Schizosaccharomyces pombe: one gene and its partners. The gene in region 4 interacts genetically with the main gene of each other region. Each region holds a gene or a part of one and is shown on either strand. Other genes may lie near its edges. The genes, in order: psy2, gmh2, plb5 and cox19.

Region 1 (5,508 bases), on a different chromosome or scaffold from region 4:
ATTAGGCGGTTTAGACCATAGCCCTTCTCATCTTATCGGCCACTTCTATGCCGTCTGTCTCTATGGTATTTACCAATATGTCTTGTCTGGTCCTGCTTTGCTTATGCCCGTCCGTATCATCGAATCCTTATTGATTTTCTTACAAGCTTCGCTAGTAATTATCCCTTATATCCTTAGCGAAATGTCATCCTAAGTTTGCAGAATCAGTTCATTAAAATTAAATTATTTTTGATTTATGAATTGGTTGATTATGATTGTCTTGGCAATCACTGATAGCTATTTGGTTTTTGCCTTGTTTGGTACGTCGTTGTTTTTAAAGAAATAGTTTTAGATAGAGTTGGGTTCAAGTTTGTAATGACTTCACACTCTTTTTGTTTATTATATAAATCCCTCTGTTTTTCAAGAGTTATAAATTGCCGTTTTAATATAAAATACTTTTTTTTAATTTTTAAGCCTACTAAGTACAATTATTCGTCAGCGTTAAGTAAACAATTATCCCGAGACTACAAGACCACGATAGTAACATGAAAATTGGTATTTATTATTTTAAAAGTCCCTTAATGAACAACCCAAATCGTTTATATTATACAGATGAGTTTTCAAAACAATGATAAACCCGGGAACAAAAATACGATGTCCATATGATGATTCACTTGCATTACAATCTTCTAGAGTTTTTGGAGCTTCCCTTTTTATGTTCATCTTCTAGGAAGCGTAGCCATTCTGGGCAGAACTTGAATCGATAGAGAGTCTCTTTTTTGGTGATTCATCATCAGCTTGCTGATCATCAACTTGGAAATCCGATTTCCTTTTAGAATAACGGGTGTTTGAAACATTAATACCTGAAGATTCTGCAGAGGTATCATAAACTGCAGACTCAAGGAAATAACGATCCTCTAATATAGGTTGCTTTGGCTGCTCGCAACTGTCTTCAATATTTAGCTCAGCAGGGGCTATAGAATCAAGAACAGTACGTTGTCCAACTTTTTCTGATAATTCAGTATCGTTTTCAATAGAAAAATCTTGCTGTATTTCCCAATCTTTGGATACGTCGTCTCCAACACGTTGGTTATTATTGGAGGCACCGTCAAATTCATAACTATTTGATTCATGAGTCCCAACAGTTTTAGGGCTTCTTGAGTCAGAGCTTAAGCCATCTATTATATTTAAAAGCTCAGAAAAAGTACTGAGATTATTTAAAGATTCCAGCTGTGGTCGATAGTTTTTATTGAGATAATCCAGTGTATCTTCAGATCCCTCGGATCTTAAAAATTCAAAAAACTCTAAAGCAGCTGAGTTGACTAAATTAGTTTGGTCTTTGACCTTTAACATCAAGTCCAGAACTTTTCCGTATGTGTCAGTTTCTAACATGATCAAGGACATTTCTGACTGACGAGCGGCCAAACAAGAGCGAATAAATCTAAGGGCGCTCAAAACAACATATTTTCTATCGCTGTATAGTAATAGAGCCACTTTTGATGTAAGGGTTTTATATGTATCAAAACGACGAGACCAATAATCGTGTATACGAAAAAAATAACAAAAAAGCTCACACAAATGCATATACATATCAAGCTTTTTAACATCTAAACTCGATACATTTTCCAGCTCCAATAAAGGAGCAGCAAGCATATTAAAAGAGTTATCATAAAAATTTTCAATAAAATTAATTCCAATAATGTTATCGGTTTTATTTCGAACATTTCCATCAGCATTTCTGTAAGGATTATTGTATGCATAGCTACCAGGTAAACTTAGTAGCATTTTAAAAGCTTCAGAAATTTGAGCAAGTACTCCAGGATTTGATTCTTTATGCAAAATGTTAATTAAATTGGAAAGCAACGAATGTTGGGAAACGTGAGCATTGCTCAATGAAGAAGAAGCGTCCTTGCGATCTTGATCAAACTTTTGCCAAACGATGGCAGGTTCATGATCAATAATAGACACCAAAATATCGGAACCAGCATTTCGAACGGAATTGTTCTCATGTGACATTGCATAATCCAAAGCTTTCAGAAGATTAAATTTAACGAAAGTAGCAAATAATGCAGAGCAGGACTGGAATTGTAGCCCTTTAGCGATGTTGCAAACCTGCTGAATAAAGAATATACCGTCTTGCTTGCGTTGATCATCCTCGCCTTCATTCACATAAATGCTAAACAGTTCATGTAAAAATTTTTCATTTGTTTGAAGGTATTGAATAATATCAGCCTGGTTAAAGAAGATAAATGAATTTAGCACCGAAAAGGAGGGTTCGTCAACAATCCTTGAAACGACAACATCCCTTAGATACTGAAGCTTAAATGTCTGGTGAATTTTTGCAAGAATCCGTGGATCCTGAATGGGAACCACCTGCTTAAACTTTTTGGAATCCATTAAATATTCCCGATGGTTCGCTTTGATATTGGGGAATTCCGGATCGTATTCGAGAATACCAGCTACACACATTAGCTTTTCATCATTAGAGAACAACGATTCGAGTAAAGGGGCGTCGTTCAATTGCACTGACAGCGATTAGCAAGGATTTAACGAATCTAAAAAGTATAAAGTAGATTAACATACCAAAGCTTTTTATTATGGAACACAATCGATGAAGGTCATCTGTATTCTCTAGATCCTCACACAGAGGAAAAAGTTCAATAAGTCTATCAATATAATTTTCATTTGAAACATAACGAACCAAACTATCTCTTGATTGAATAGACTGCATATATCCATATACTGCTTCTTCAATTTCTTTTAAATTAGCAAGCTCTGGGGCTGGAAGATCGACCGTGTTTAGGTAGTTTTCATTAAGCGCCCCCTCATCCGTCAATATATCATCGTTGGAGTAACTTCTAGTTACCGATGATATTGCCTTTTGAACATTTGCTAAAAACATCCACATGTCTATACAACCGCTAGATTCTTGAAAGCTTAAAGCAAGATCAGTACCATTCAATTCTTGCCAGACTATGAGAGTTTCTTCTTGACGGCTGTATATATCTTCCGCAATCAATTGTGTTTTCAAAAGGATGGTTTCATTATCAGCTTCTGAACGCACAATGAAATAAGCCAACGGTCCCTCTATTTTTCCATCGCAATAACCGGTGCCACAGTCTACCCAGTTTTCATCTTCCATTTCGTACACTTTTACACGTCTGGGAATCGATGGCACTTCGATCTTCTGCAATGCAGCTGCAATTGCTTCGTCTAATTCCTCTTCTTCATTTTCTCCATCTGAAATTTCATCAATATTATTATTTAAATCTTCCTCTTCCTTCGTAGAATCCATTTCTACGGCGGATTAAGGGTAGACGTCAGCTTCGAATTTACGACGTTGGCGTTCGTCACCAAATTTTCAAAAGTGAAGACGAAATTCAAACGTGGTGGTGAATGAATGCAATACCGTAGATTGCACCAAGATTGTAATTATTAATAAATGTATTTCTCATTAAATGGCAATGCCGCTTTACTTAATTATTTGGTTTGCCTAAAATATAACAAATAGATTTGTTAAGCAGTGTACTATGTATATTTCACGTGCATAATTTTGAAGTGTTATGGCAGAATTATGTTCTTTATAGAGTCAAATAACTATTATATACGTGATCGTGGTGCTTTCAGTCACTATTTTTCATTGTAATTCGGTATCTGTTTACAACAATATCATTAACGGACGTTATGCATTTTAACGATGAGTACTTCACCGCTCGGTGTATATGCTGTAATCAATCCTTATATCGAGTTGTGTTTTAAACGTTTTATACTGTCTACAATTAGCATTTAAATCTTTTCGAAATAGTAAATAAACTAAATATGAATATAAATAAAGTTAATTATTGTCTAAACACATGTGTAGCCTCGTCAAATCAATTTTTTGCAAGTCAATCATGAGGCTCAGGGTACATTTGTAAAGTAATAGTTAATTTTTAAGTACAAACTAATGGTATTTATACCGATATATATATTGAAAGCTGCTAAAGCTTCGCTAGATATTCAAGTACTCTAGCAAATGCATCAATATAAATACAGTTTTTTTGCTTTTACTAAGTTTTATTGTTAAAGCGTAATACGAGAAATTTGCCAAATGAGAACACGAATTGAATTGATATAATTCCAGAAATAAAAATTATGTATTCAAGACGATGACTGTTGCGATATGCATGCTTACGAGTTTATCGATATATAAAAGACAAAGAGAGTTGAGCTTACCAAAACATATACTGATCCTTCATGGAGAAAAAACAAGATAACGAGGTGGAATTATATTCAATTGATTTAAAAAATAGAAATGAAAGTGCAAAAATAAAGCTTGCTTATGCGAAAGCGTTAGAGGAAAGCATTCTTTGTGAAACACGAAAAATCGAACAAGAAATTAAAGACCAAGTGGTTCAAAAGGAAAATAAAACATATTTTAATAACAAATTTGATAATCGATATAAATTACGCGACTTGGAAAAAAATTTAGCGGAGGAGGAGGTGAGAATTACGGAGATGCTTACTATTCAACGTCAAGACATTGCAATTGAAAGAAGGAAGAACACAAATTGCTTCAGTGAGTCTTCTCAAGTAGATCAATATTCAGTTACTGAAACCAATCTACAATATGCTACTAACATTGGCTTAAACCTTCTGCAACAGTTGCGGTATTTAAGGCTGCAACTGTCAGAGAAAGAAGATTTGCATAAAAAGTTGTCAGTGGATAATGCCCATTTAATCAAGCAACTTGATCTACTTTCTTCAAACATGAAAACACTTATGAAAGAGAAGACTAAGGTGCAAGGACAAAGGGATTTGCTTGAACAAAGACTACAAGGATTAATGAAAAAATTGACAGAAGTAGAGTCTTTGACCGTTTCACTTAACGATGAGAAGAACAAACTGACATTGGAATTAACAAATTTAAGAATTTGCCTTCACGAGCTTCAACTGAATGCCGAAAAAGGCGAAACTATAGATGAAAGTGAAGATTCTAAAAATACTTTGGTAACTGAGGATGAAAACGACGATTCTGTATTTTTGGAGTCTTCCTCGGATAAGTATTTTGATAGTTCATCTTTTGATGCGGAGCAAGAAGAGAAACACGATTTTCCAATAGATCCTTTTTTGTCGTTGGAATCCAATGTACAAACTTCGGTATCTCAATCATCGGCCGTTCTCAAATCCATCAATTTAGCAAAACAGGAGTTAGTGAGTGTAAATCATTTGGTAGCTGACGATACTAAAACACCGTCTCCAAATTTATCATCGGAAATAATTGAAAACACAAAAGCTGACATAAAGAAATCAATCAGGTCTCTGAACAAGGCAGTATCACCAGAAAACTCTATAGACATCGAAGATGAAACCGACAGAGATGATGAGTTTATTTGCTTCCTTTTGTCTTATCAGCAACTACAAAAGGCGCTGAAAAGTAACTTGGGCCTTTTTCAGCTTTCTTGCTTGTACCCACTTTCTCTGAATCATCTTATTCAGTCATTCTTTCAATCTCTCACCTCTCAAATTTCAATAAAAGATATTGACTCA
Region 2 (4,652 bases), on a different chromosome or scaffold from region 4:
ATATGGATAGGGTATTTACTTTTGGTAGTAGGATGATATTTCAATCGGTGAATTAAAACCCTAGTAGCGTTGAAGTAGTAATCCTCTTCAGTAGAAGGCATAGTAAACAAACTCATATACGTATATTTGCCAGGCTCTTCTTTTAAGACGGCATTATCATTTTCCTCAACAAAGTTGTTTTTTAATGAAGTAAGCCGGTCATTAAGGGTTTGCTTATAATCGTGTCCGTTAAACACTAAGGTTGTCATCACAATAATCAAAACCACAGAAAACAACAGGAATTTGTAACGCGGAAGAGATAAAAAATTTGAAAGTGAAATTCGAGACATGATAAGAGATTAATTCAACGAACCGCTGAAACAATAGAATTTGAGACACGTGAAATTTTCGAAAGCCTTAAAAAAATGAAAAAAGGCTCTAAAGATGACTCCCTTTATGAGGATGTTACCCTCTAAAATTTATTTATTTCTTTTACCCTTAAACGACTTGCGTTAACAACCCTTTAAAGAAAAAATATCCGAGATTTATGTTTCATCACGCGGGTTGCTCTGCATTTGTCAATTTATTACCAGCACGTTGTTTGTACCATGTGCCGCGCTATATTCAGTTACAGTATTGTAATTCAAATTGTGGAATTGCCTTTTACAAATCCTAACGCTTTGTTTTTTCACAATCATCTTAGTTTGTGTGTAATGGTGTCAACTTTCGAGCTATCTGGATGTTGAAAATTATGAGCTTAAGCATGTAATAGAAATTGACACTAATGAATTAATTTGGTGAAGTTGTTTCAAACAGTGAAAAATCTGACTGTTAGCTGGAAAAGTATTGGAAATACCATTTAGCTTATTGGTAAAGTAAATATTGTGTAAATTTAACGAAATATATTTTGTCGATAAATCTATTCAAATATTCTTTCTCCTTGACCTGATAGACCTCATTAATCGGAAAATGCTTCTAGGTTTGTAAAGACACAAGTGTAAACAGTGGGTGCACAGACGTAATGGAACCACCGTTAAAAAATACATCTTTTAGACTTAGCAACTAATCTATATCTTTATAAGGCCAAAAGCCAGTGTAATCAATATAAAATAAGGACATACCAATACTTTGTAGGGCCAAAAAACAAGATAAATAAAAACTTAGTATAATCCGACACGAATGATTCAATAAAACTTCTATCAGCATTTAACAGAAAATGGCAGCTGCGGTGAAATGCAAATTATTAAAAAGATTTATTAACGCCAAACTGTTATTCCAATCTTCAATATTGCATTGGTAAATTGCCAAAGCAAATTAGTTGAACCAACAGAAACAGCTTCAAAGTCAATGTGAAATATATACAATATATAACAATTATTGATGGACGATTGTGTAAAACAAAACTCCCAGATATCTCGCTATAAAAAACTAACCTGAAACTTTGATTGCTATGGCACAACCGCTATATTAATTAGGTATGTAAAGATTAAAAAATAGTAAACATTATTAGAGATTCAGATAAAGAAAGGAAGATTGACGGAAAATTATACGGCGCTTTGTTTATATATATAAAATTTTTTAAAACACAAACAAATTAAACAGACGGATATAATGAATAAGCAACTTAGTCAATCAAGGCGTAAAACTTTTGCCATAGTTCATCGCAGCGGTTTTCAACCCAACATCCAGCAAAGTGAATTACCAAATCACCTTTTTGCCATTCCATATTTTCCGGACCTTCGTGAAAAGCATTTATTTTTCTTTGAGGAATAAGGCCAACCAGCGAAGCAAGTTGTGAATGCTTAGAAATCAAATATCCAAGCATGTCTTGTTCATTATTGGCTTTCGCACATTCTGCAACAACAGGATCTGTCCAAATATCCAAAAACAAGGCAGTAGCAGGTGAATTACGGAACAAGATACTACCTGCGTTTAATCCATTGTGATCCTGTGAGATTATGACCATGAGATTTTCGATATCTTTTAAACTATAATTACTTGGTGTATAACGCAAATCCCCGTTAGCATTTATAGGCCGTTTAGTGAGGATGGTATTAGTAATTAAGGTCTTTTGCAAGTTCTCAGGTTTCAAAAAGGAGTCTTGAAGGGAAAGATGGGTATTAGTAATAATTGCATCCTGATCCAACAACCAGATCCATTCCGCTTTGGGGTATTTCTTCATAGTTTGTAAGACGGCGGGCATCTTGGACCAAACGGCGGGAATAGGGAGGCCAGTAACATTGACATACTCAAAGTTGTAGTTTTGTTTGGTACTATAGTCAACTCTGTTCTGTATAGCTTCTTCAAACGTATTAGCTCCATTATTGTAAGAAGTGTGTCCATCACTAACTAGTAATAAGACAATATTTTGACTGGCAGGATTTTGCTGAGGCTCTGACTCGTATGACGCCTCGTGGAATGTAGTGCTTGTGGCCACCAAATGAGAGTCTAACGGCGCCAACTCAAACGAGTGATTAACGGATGGAGTGCCAATAGCATCGGAGAGCATGGGTGCAATTTGCTGATCATACAACTGGTTAACCTTCGACACCAAATCAACGTCCACAAAATATATCAACGAGTATAGAAACGCGCCAGCAATCAAGCCGACCGTTAAAAATAAGAAAAAAAAACGACGTGGAATCCTGGATAACATAAGTGCCATCTTTAGGTTATAACAATTCTTCAGTAAATCAATTAGAAATAATGAAACAATAACTGGAAAACTTTTTTTGAAAAAAAGGCTTTTCCGAAATCTTAAACAACCACTAAATCAGATTGTATTAAGGTCTTATCGAAACGACCTATAAAATAACGAACGAAATCTCGAGATATAAAAATAAATCAAAGGGTTAGAGGTATATGCTGATGGTAAAAAAAAGCTTCCTGATTGTCTTAATGAGGCTGAATACGCGTTAAGCTTCCTTTGACTAGCTATCGTTAATTTTTTAAAGGCTTTGTTAAATATTTTATTAACGTCGGCTCCTTTGCCGATGGTAGAGACAACCGTAACCTTGCCTAAATTTTTATAACCCAGCAACCGGCACGTTACTTGCTTATAAAACTTTCTACGGGTAGCTATTAGAAAAATGAAATTTATGGAATGAAAACTTAGCTAAAATATTCGGATTTAATTTTGTGTCACTGATTTCATCAAAATATCTTGACCTTATTAAACAACTACTTCGACTTTTCAACAAAGAGAGAGGCTGACCAATATAGTTGAATTATACACATCGCTTTCTTTCTGTGACCGGATTTCCATCACAATCGCTACTACTATTTAACAAGGTTAACAATAATAAAAAAATCGAATAAAAGTTAACAATTATACCTATCTCTAATATACTGAACAAAACATTAGCCAGCCTTTACACTGCAGCAGCTAAAACTTATATTCCCTTGCCCATGATACTCAGCAACAACATCATGAATACAAAAAAGTAAGTCATCCAAGGAAATTTATGAGTTCAAAAAATGGAATAAAGTATTACACATTCACTACTTTAGATTGTATAGCTCCAGGGTAAACTGTCGTTCCTTAATACTTTTGTTACTTATGCACCGAATTCGACTATTTCGCATTCATTAGTGATAGACGTGAATCAACAAATCCAAGGGGTGTAGATAGTTTATAATTTATCTTGTAACGCAGTTTGTTTATCACATACTCTCTTAGAATTTGACAGTCATGACAACGACCACGGTAGCAATTGCATTTCATATGCATAATATGAAAATACTTTTTTTTTACGATAGCTTTTAATCGGCTTGGTGAAACCGTTGTTAATATTCAAACAACATTTTGATGTCTTCAATTGACTGAACCTGCTGCTTTCCTTCCGACATGCCCAGGGTCCCAGTAATAAAATTTTTGCGTTCTTGTATTTTGAGCATCCTTTCCTCAACAGTATCACGTACAATATATCTCGTCACAAATACAGGCTTTTCCTGTCCTAAACGATGAATACGATCGATGGCCTGTGCTTCCACTGACCAGCTCCACCATGGATCCATAATAAAAACATGGTTGGCACAAGTAAGGTTTAAACCAACCCCGCCTGCCTTTAAAGAGATAATCAGCACGTTAACATCAGGATCATTTCGAAATGTCTCTAAAGCCGTCGACCTCATTTGTTGTGACATGGTACCATCGAATCTAGCATACCCCATCTTCTCTGACTCGAGAACGTCTGCGATAATATCCAGGAATGTGGTAAACTGTGAAAAGATAACGACCTTTTCAGGTTCAGAACTATGAGTTAATTGACGCAATTGTCCTAAAAGGCCATTAAGTTTCACTGATTGTAGCCTATTCCAATATTTCCATTTTACTTCCTCACCGACTAAAAGCGTAGACTGTGTTCCGTTATTTTTGACAAAAAAAGGTTTATAGACATCTTGCTCATTGAAGGGTTGACGACATGTATGACAAAGCGGAGGAATTATGTTTCTTCTTTTTTGATACTGAATATGTTCTGACAAACAATCTCCGCAACAAGCATGCTTGCAGTTCAATAACAAGGGATTTTGAATTGGTTCATTACAACATATGGGACATTCCGTTATCAATGCTTCAAAAGACTTCAGTGTATCAATTTTTAAAATATCTGAAGGAATGGGCTTTCCAGTGACAACAAATTGATTAATTAAAGAATTAAATTGCTCAACCG
Region 3 (4,813 bases), 1.2 Mb from region 4:
ATTTTGGACGAGTTGTTGCTTAACTTGTATTGCGAAACTTACTATAATACAGTATTCGTTGACCTTAATACCTCAACTGCCTTTGCTACGCTAAGGATTCATCACATACCGATGACACTTCAGTAGTTCTTTAAATTTATTTAAGACGTACAAGCCAGTGCATAATCTAGGTTTACAAAACTCTTTGTTATAGCTCCTTAGACACGGGAACTAAGCAAAGGAGGTATACAGTCTGGATACACGGGAACTCTTAAACAAAGTGTAAAATAATGTATCTCTTAATAACTCTGTCGAAATGGTTATATATCACATTGTGAGCTTGTTACAATACCTTATAGCTTTGCATTTAGTTCAGTGCAGTTTCTTATGTTTGTGTTTTGGGTTTGTAAAGTATGATAAAACGAGAGAGATATTTTGACAAACTGATGAAATTCAAGATCTACTGTATCAGCTTATAACTGGAATAGAAAGAAAGAATATAAAGGCTACAATGTAGCCATGTGCGGTCAACGTTTAGACTGCCGATCTTATGACCTAACTAAAGCGATCGCTATTCAGATCCATTTCTGCTTGTAGGGATGAGACTTTGTAGAATAGCAAATCTGTAAATTAACAAATCTTCAAATTTTGTTGCATCAAGCAATAACTTCTACTCTATCTGTTTCTATCAATGGTTTTTCATATCTCGAATTGAAATATTTCCAATGTGAATCAACTAAAAACATCGCACCCCATTACCTTATTGAATATTCGAATTTGGGGATTTCCTAGAAGAGTTGGACATTAAATGACGTTAATAGAAGTAAAAAAAAAATAGAAAGTCGTTTCATCATGGACTTGTCGATGATTTGCATTACCAGACAATTTTACATCCGTGAGTTCGCAGCAATCGGGTTGGTATCCGTTTATAAATTTAGCCGTTGATATTCATCCCGTCATTTAAAGCTGAGCCTAGGTTGATCTAAATATTCCATTATAGAATCGCTGAAATATTTATTGAATAGGGCATAAATGGTACCCATGAATGCTAATGATAACTAGGCAATCCAACTCCAACTGGCATCTAAAGACTTAGTAATATGACCACCATTTCATAATCTCACGGTGCTACATATAGAAAATCGTTAACATCATAGATGGCATCTTCGGAGTTCCTTCTAGTCCACGCCGAATTGCGGATCAAGGTAAGCAGATCATGAGAAACGTGGGTCATGCGAAAAGTGAGTCTACAAGTGAGTTCATCCTCAAAAGCCTATATATATTATATATATAGCACTTGGGAATAAATGAATAAAGGTTGCAACTTTAGTGATTGAATCGGTAAATCCCGTTAAAACAAACAATCAGTGATTCATCCTTCTTTAGTGTGATCTGTGTAGGTAAGCAAGCAATTTACAAATGCCTAGAAAGTTGGCAAGGCCGGTTTGTGTTTGGCAAGGAAATGAGCAAAAACGTCTGTCTATTCCTAAAACGGACGGTGGGTAAGCAAAATCCCAACTTGAAAATTTGAATTGGGATTTTTTTATTTCAATGGAAAAAGATAGGTTAAATCATAAAAAAGAACATGATATTATTTTCTTGGAAATATGTCGAAATCCTGTCTCATCCCAACCTTTTCGACAAAACTAGGTGTCCTGATGGAAATATAGTTTAAGCTCATCGCTTGCCGAACCGCTCCATCAAATGCTTAATTTGCTTTTATTGACATTGTAGCTCGACGGACTCTCTAGATATCTAAATATTTTTCGTTGAACTTACTAGATTGGGAATTGACAATTGAAAGCTCTTTAATTGATTACTTTCATTGTCTTGATTTTTTTCATTCTCAGAAAATTTCAAAAAATTCAGACTTTAGAAACTCGCTGTTTGTTAATCACTCTCTTGCTTTTTTTGGATTCAGAGAAAATTGAAAAATTCGAACTTTTTTTAAAAACGAATCATTGACCGTATTCTATCCTTTTATCCTTTATTAAACCAACCTTGCTTTTTTAATTTTTATTTTATTTTTTTTTAAACATGAAATTATCTTCCTTTGGATTATTTCTCGCTCTCCAGCTTTTGCCGGCCTTGGGCCTTCCTTCTCGTATCGATGAAGTAGACGTTTCAGACCCAGAACTAATCGGATTATTGAAACCCGATAACGTTGATAAGCCAGCAAACTCTATACCCCTTTCCAAGCGTAGCACAAGCCCATCGTATGCGCCTTATACTGTTGCTTGCCCTAGTGGCTCTCTGCTTCGACCTGCCTCCGATGGCCTTAGTACTGGTGAACAAGAATTTGTTGACAAACGTGTCTCAAAGGTTAACAGTGCATTGGAAAGCTTTATTTCAAAAACCGGCTTAAAAATCGATACAAAAAGTGTGCTGAATGACACAGATGGCCCTCGTTTGGGAATTGCAATCTCTGGCGGTGGATTTCCTGCCATGTTAACGGGAGCCGGCGCTATTAATGCATTTGATGCTAGAAATGGTAACACTACGTCTCTTGGTGGTATTCTTCAATCTTCCATGTACCTTACTGGTCTTTCTGGTGGCTCTTGGCTTGTGGGATCTGTTGCGGTTAACAACTTTGCCAATATTACTTTCTTGCACGACGACGTTTGGAACCTGGACCACAGTCTCTTCGCTCCCTATGACGACGCTTTTGAGAACTTTTATATTTACCAAGAGTGGTTTGAGCAAGTTCTGCAAAAGAAGAATGCTGGATTCAATGTCTCCATTACTGACCTTTGGGGCCGTGCTTTGGCTCTTAAGCTTGTCAATCCTTTGACTGGAGGTGCTAATACTACATTCTCTAGTGTAACAAATGAAACGTGGTTCCAGGATGGTGAATTTCCCTTTCCCATCATCATTGCTGATAATGTCATAGAGGGTGAAACCGTAATCCCTTTGAACGACACTGTCTTTGAATTTACACCCATCGAATTTGGTACTTGGGACACTGGGGTGGAATCATTTATACCCATGGAGTATACAGGTACACACCTTATTAATGGCATTCCTCTTAATGAATCCTGTGTGCGTAATTTCGACAACGCTGGTTTCCTCATGGGTACCTCTTCAAATGTTTTTAGCGGTATCCTTCCTGCGACAAATGCATCACTCACCGCTAGTAATAATACCTTTAACAATGCTGTCCTTAGTTTCCTCGAAATGCTTGCCGAAGATCAATTGGATGTAGGTCTTTATCCCAACCCTTACCAAGGTTATGGAAATGCTTCCAATACAACCACTACCAATCCCTTGGAGCCGTATCCCATTATTGAATTAATAGACGGTGGCTCAGATAGTGAAGGTATTCCCTTTTGGCCCTTGCTTCATCCACAAAGAGACGTAGATGTTATTTTTGCGATTGACGGGGGTTATCAAAGCGCAACGAGTGGATGGCCAGATGGATCGTCCCTAGTTTCTACATATGAAAGAGTTTTAGCCACTAACTCCTCTGGCGTTCGTGGTTTCCCATATATTCCTGATACCAACACATTTTTGGCTCTTGGTTTGAACACTCATCCAACTTTCTTCGGTTGCGACGGTAGAAACACCACAGCCGGAAACCATACCGTTAATGACGATACTCCTCCTCTTGTAGTTTACTTCCCCAACTATCCTTGGACTATGTATGCAAATGTCACTACCTACACTGTTCAACTGGAAGATACTTTGTCCAGTGGAATGATTGAAAATGCCGCTGTTGCTGCTACCCAAAATAACAGTGATTCATTTGCTGTCTGCGTTGCATGCGCTCTCGTTCAACGTTCCTTGGAACGCAAAAACATGTCGACTCCAAGTCAATGTGCTTCTTGCTTTAATCAATACTGTTGGAATGGAACAATTGCAAGCACGACCGTTACTACATATGCACCTACAGTTCTGTCAGCCAAGATTTAGTATGCAACGCTCACGACAATCCATTTTGTTCGATCTTTTCCATGGTAGCATAGAGCGTAAAGCATTGAAACACTAATGTTCATATATTCACTAATCTAAGAACCAGCAAAAGTCGGCTCTTTACTTATTGCTCATAAACAACGAGAAGGAAGATATAGTGAATAAATATAGGAATGAAAAAAGCTTCAAGAAGCCATTAACACCATCGAATTTGAATTCCTAAGCTCTAAATGACACTAATTTATGTAACCTTTGCAGAAATGTTTCAACTCAAATACTGTGTCAGCAGTAGTCCAGCACGCTACGATATACTACGTTGCGTAGCACTATATGTCATGCTAAAATATACATAACATTAGTTTATTGATGATTGTAGCTGTTTGTCCATCTATCTACACAAGTTACACATTGGTAGCAACTAGAGAAAAATATAAATAGAGCTACCACTGAACCTCATTCCTCAGTTCAGTTATTGGCTATATCGGTGACCGATACTACTAGACTTTTTATAACAATAAATATAATATTATTAGTTAACAAAGCGCATACCGCTATGTTGTAAATCCCTAGAAATCTCGCCGCAGTGCTATATATCGTTAAACCAGATACCAAACTGCGTAGCTGACATTATAATTATACTACAACGTTTGCTTCTCAAAAACGTTTTAAGGAAAGCTAAGTTAGGGTAAATAAAAAGGGCAGTGACAAAATAAATGTGTCAGAAGCAATTGCATTTTGAAAATGAGTTTTCGAATTTTAACTTTTACCTACTATTATTAAAGAGAGAAGTCTTCTTTGAAAGAAATTGCTCGTTTTTTATGTTGAACGGCTGAAATTGGGCTCCAGAGTGAAAATTCTTGATTTCGCTGTTTCGTTTGTCGCAATTATAGCAATTAATTCGCGCATGTATTTTATTAAATAAAGA
Region 4 (3,769 bases):
TGATTCGGCAAAAAGTTATCAAAAAACGGTGAAGCAAAAGGCACTGATAGCACTTGAGCCGATATATCTGAAGAGCAACCTCAAGGCCCCCGATAATGGGCGGTTTAGAAAAGTAACATCAATTTATCAGTAAGTTTAGGGGGGCCAAAAAAAATAGATTCGGTTGTATTTAACCTTAAAATTAGCGAAAACAAAAGATCGACGTTAAAATATAGGTGAAAAGAGAAGTATAGATATACAAAAATATTCTACATACGAGTAAGCTTATCATTGACGAATTAAAATATCCCTTTTTTTCTTTCTTTTGATTGAGGAATCATAAAGGTTTATATCACTTCATCTGATTATTCCTCCTTCATTTAAAAACTATGTTAAAGGATACAATGTGAAAAAGGCAATGAGTTAAAGGAAAGCAATCATTTCAAATACAAGAAAATTATGGATTGTATAAAAAAAATTATAAAATTATAAACCAATCAACTAAATACCAGCCGCTTCCTGTTAAGCGTCAGCCATAAAAATGATTCATTTATAAATATCATTATTGCTTATTCCAATACAATACACTTTTATTAATGAGTATGCAGAACAGTCATTACCAAGTTAAATTAACAGTAAATAAATATCCTTCTGATGTTGGTAAGTGATCGACTATTCATAGTTGAAATAGTATTCAAGCAGTGATTCTTAACGACTTGCTTTTCCTTTTTTTTTTTTTTTTTTTTTTTATAATTTTATGTAGAGGATCACTCACCTCCTGTCTTATTATCAGAAGAAGAGGAATTCGAGTTATTATTACCATCATTGCTGCTGCTTAAAGAAGTAGATGTTGCATTTTCGTCGCCATGAAAACCTAAATTCTTCATATCATCTTTCCCAAACAAACCAGTGTCCATTCGACATTGCAGATATTTCTTTGCAAGCAAACGACATTCCTCCTGATTCTCTCGTTTCACTTTTATGCACTCCAAGTACTGTTTCATGACATGAGTGCATTCTCCTGCACGACAAGTATTAGTAAAAAAGGTAAATAACTACCAGAAAAAAATACTTTGACCATCACATACCAAAATGATCTAAAGGAAAACTTCCTCGTTCCGGAGGTTCACGAGTTGTCATGGGTAGAGATCCACCAGCTATCGAAATTCATTGTTAACATATAACTTTTTAAAAGCTCAATATATCATATAGGATTAAGAAATATGGAATGGGAAGTCTTTAACTTTGTCAGTTGAAAAATGACACTCATCAAATGCAGAATAAAAAGAATTAGAAAATCAATTCCACCAATGCAAGCATTCAACAACTCAAAGCTCCTCATTCTTTAAGATTGTGCCATTTAATTAACGGAATTAAAAATAGTTTCTTATATCAGTAGTAGCTCTGAGTAAAAAGTTGCATGCCAATCATAAGCAAACATAGATGGATAGATTCTATTCAATGAAACTGTTCTTTTCATAACATTCGATTTTATGTGATTTTGCAAGTACGTTTTGTTTAGAAGCAAAAAGGACTTGTTTTCCCAAACGATTTCAAATGCTGAAACATCTTTGAACGAACAATTACTTACCTGCTCCGAATGACATTTTTGAAACGTTAGACTGGTCAATGCTTATTATTTCAATGCAAAAAATTATTCAAGTTAATGAAATTATCTTTATCCAAGTTTAAGAAACGTATGAGTTAGAACAATGGATATGAGTCGTTTACTTCGAACCTAAGGCGGTGGATGAAGATGTAAAGCTACGTCGCACACAAGTTCAACTGTTTACAACCACATAAAGTTGATTTTTCGACTGAGTACTTCCTAATTGAAGTAGTCTGGTGGATTTGGTATTCTCACTTCATAATACGAACAAAATACAGTAAAATTATAGACTTGAAAGGCAAAGCTAAATTTACGCTATGGTAAAATTATCAATAACCAAAGTTAATTTCAATACGAAAGTTGAATTTGAACACAATAATTAAATGATGCATCCTTTCATAACCATGAATACCTGAAAGTACCATATTTCATCACCTATATCTCCCGAGCAAAGTGTATCAAAGTCTATAGTATCGATTATCATCTACATATACATGAATATTAAGTTACAGACATAGGAAATCGAGACAACTGAAAGCCAAAAATCAATGGTTTTATTTTGTAAAAAGAAAAAGATAGAAGTATACAAACGATGAAATATATATCCAGAAATATAAAACACTTCTTCAACAACCAAAGGAGCTATCAAAAACGATCGTCTAACGTCAGGACTCACATTAGCAAGCTTTTGAAAAGTATGTTTAATCATCCAGATTCAATTTTTTGAATGACTCAGCAGTCTGACTTTCCGTTGCTGGGGCAGCACCGGATTCAGCAGCAATTGAAGCATTAGTAGTTCCAGCCTTCTTTGCATTCTTTTTATCTTGTTTTTTCTGTTTCATGGCCTTCTTCAAATCCTTGGGATCAGGATAGGCAGCCTTCAAAATACTATCCAAGTCAGGATATTGCTTCAACTGCTCTTGGACACCAGCCAACAAAGTATTGACAGATGACTCAAGACCAAGCTTCAAATCTTGGGGTGAAAGAGTCAGGTCCTTGTATGCCTTTTCAACCTCTTCATAAGTTTTGAAAACCATTCTTCCACCAAATTGCTCTGGACGATCAATGACAAATTCAGTTTCGCCACGAAGTTCCATTGCAGGGAAACTGACGTATTTCAAGAAAGCCAAACAACCATTTTCCTCCACAACACCAGGCTCGCAAAAAGCTGAACGGATTTTCTTGTTTACAGTTTTGGGATCATCTAAGATATCAATTTTGGCGTTGGCAGCGGCAGAGGAAGACATTTTACCACCAGCAAGACTGGGCACCATAGGGTTCATTAAATGGCCACGCTTCTTGTATCCCAAAACTGGTAACACCTCTTCAGCCATAACGAAAATTTTACGTTGGTCAACACCACCGAATTGAACATCAACACCAAGGTATTGTTCATCAAGAGCTTGCATACCTGGATAGATCAAGCTTGACAATAGAGGACTAGCGACCTGCTTGACAACTTCTGCACCGGCACGACGAGCAGTGTGCTCTGTCGTAGATGCAGCAAGTCGAAAGTTATCAAGGGTATAATCCTCCTTCAGCTGATAGCTGGAGCCAATGACAAAACGAAGCTTCTCAATGGGAATATTCAACGATTTTAGAATAGATTTGACAATAATTTCATAATAACGAACACGGTGTTGAACGAGTTCCATCGGCGCCTTCATGTTATCCAAAAAAGCATGGACATCGGCTAAAAGAACAGTAACATGTACACCGGCCTTTAAAAAATCAGCCAACTTCATCATTGGCACAAAATAACCACAATGAGGACGGCCAGTAGGTGCACTGCCCCAGTACAAGCTGATATCGCGTTCATTCAAAATTTCGCGAATCATTTTGGCGCCAAGCACCTCTTGAAGATTACGAGTAATCAACTCATATTTTTCATCCGGAGTAAGCGACATCTTGCTTGATATCCAACGTTAAATGGAACTCACAAAAATTGGTGATGTTGGTTAACGATGTTTTCGATTGCAATCATGGACTGCGATCAACGTTCGGAATTGCCGCGGCACCGTGACTGCAACCCGAACAACAAATTATTCAGACAAAATTATTAACCAAGGTTTAATAAATAATTTGGTTTAATTATGTGCAATTACTAATAAAATATCGTTTAAAAAATGTTTATGTTATCAAAACATTCGTAAAAAGGGTAAAAGCGGTTAATTAATGTTA

Evidence for each region.
Region 1: mutations in cox19 (region 4) and psy2 together harm fitness more than expected from each alone (negative genetic interaction), as found in Schizosaccharomyces pombe (one large-scale study listed by BioGRID).
Region 2: mutations in cox19 (region 4) and gmh2 together harm fitness more than expected from each alone (negative genetic interaction), as found in Schizosaccharomyces pombe (one large-scale study listed by BioGRID).
Region 3: mutations in cox19 (region 4) and plb5 together harm fitness more than expected from each alone (negative genetic interaction), as found in Schizosaccharomyces pombe (one large-scale study listed by BioGRID).

What each region holds. Positions count from the first base shown.
Region 1 is NC_003423.3:893,860-899,367, forward strand, and holds psy2 (serine/threonine protein phosphatase PP4 regulatory subunit 3 Psy2), read right to left. Parts: upstream 3,556-5,508; 5' UTR 3,275-3,555; coding exon 2,563-3,274; intron 2,505-2,562; coding exon 706-2,504; 3' UTR 513-705; downstream 1-512. Other genes in the region: squalene monooxygenase Erg1, read left to right, coding at 1-193; dynein-anchoring factor Num1, read left to right, coding at 4,216-5,508.
Region 2 is NC_003424.3:167,207-171,858, forward strand, and holds gmh2 (alpha-1,2-galactosyltransferase Gmh2), read right to left. Parts: upstream 2,850-4,652; 5' UTR 2,645-2,849; coding exon 1,604-2,644; 3' UTR 560-1,603; downstream 1-559. Other genes in the region: alpha-1,3-galactosyltransferase Otg1, read right to left, coding at 1-329; ATP-dependent chromatin remodeller/ubiquitin-protein ligase E3 Rad8, read right to left, coding at 3,766-4,652.
Region 3 is NC_003421.2:1,740,663-1,745,475, reverse strand, and holds plb5 (phospholipase Plb5), read left to right. Parts: upstream 1-2,016; coding exon 2,017-3,888; 3' UTR 3,889-4,274; downstream 4,275-4,813.
Region 4 is NC_003421.2:567,954-571,722, forward strand, and holds cox19 (Cu chaperone), read right to left. Parts: upstream 1,740-3,769; 5' UTR 1,587-1,739; coding exon 1,571-1,586; intron 1,137-1,570; coding exon 1,068-1,136; intron 1,001-1,067; coding exon 747-1,000; 3' UTR 509-746; downstream 1-508. Other genes in the region: tyrosine--tRNA (Tyr) ligase Yrs1, read right to left, coding at 2,290-3,495; asp1 (inositol hexakisphosphate kinase/inositol pyrophosphate synthase), read right to left, coding at 3,757-3,769. UniProt on the Schizosaccharomyces pombe protein: Required for the assembly of mitochondrial cytochrome c oxidase.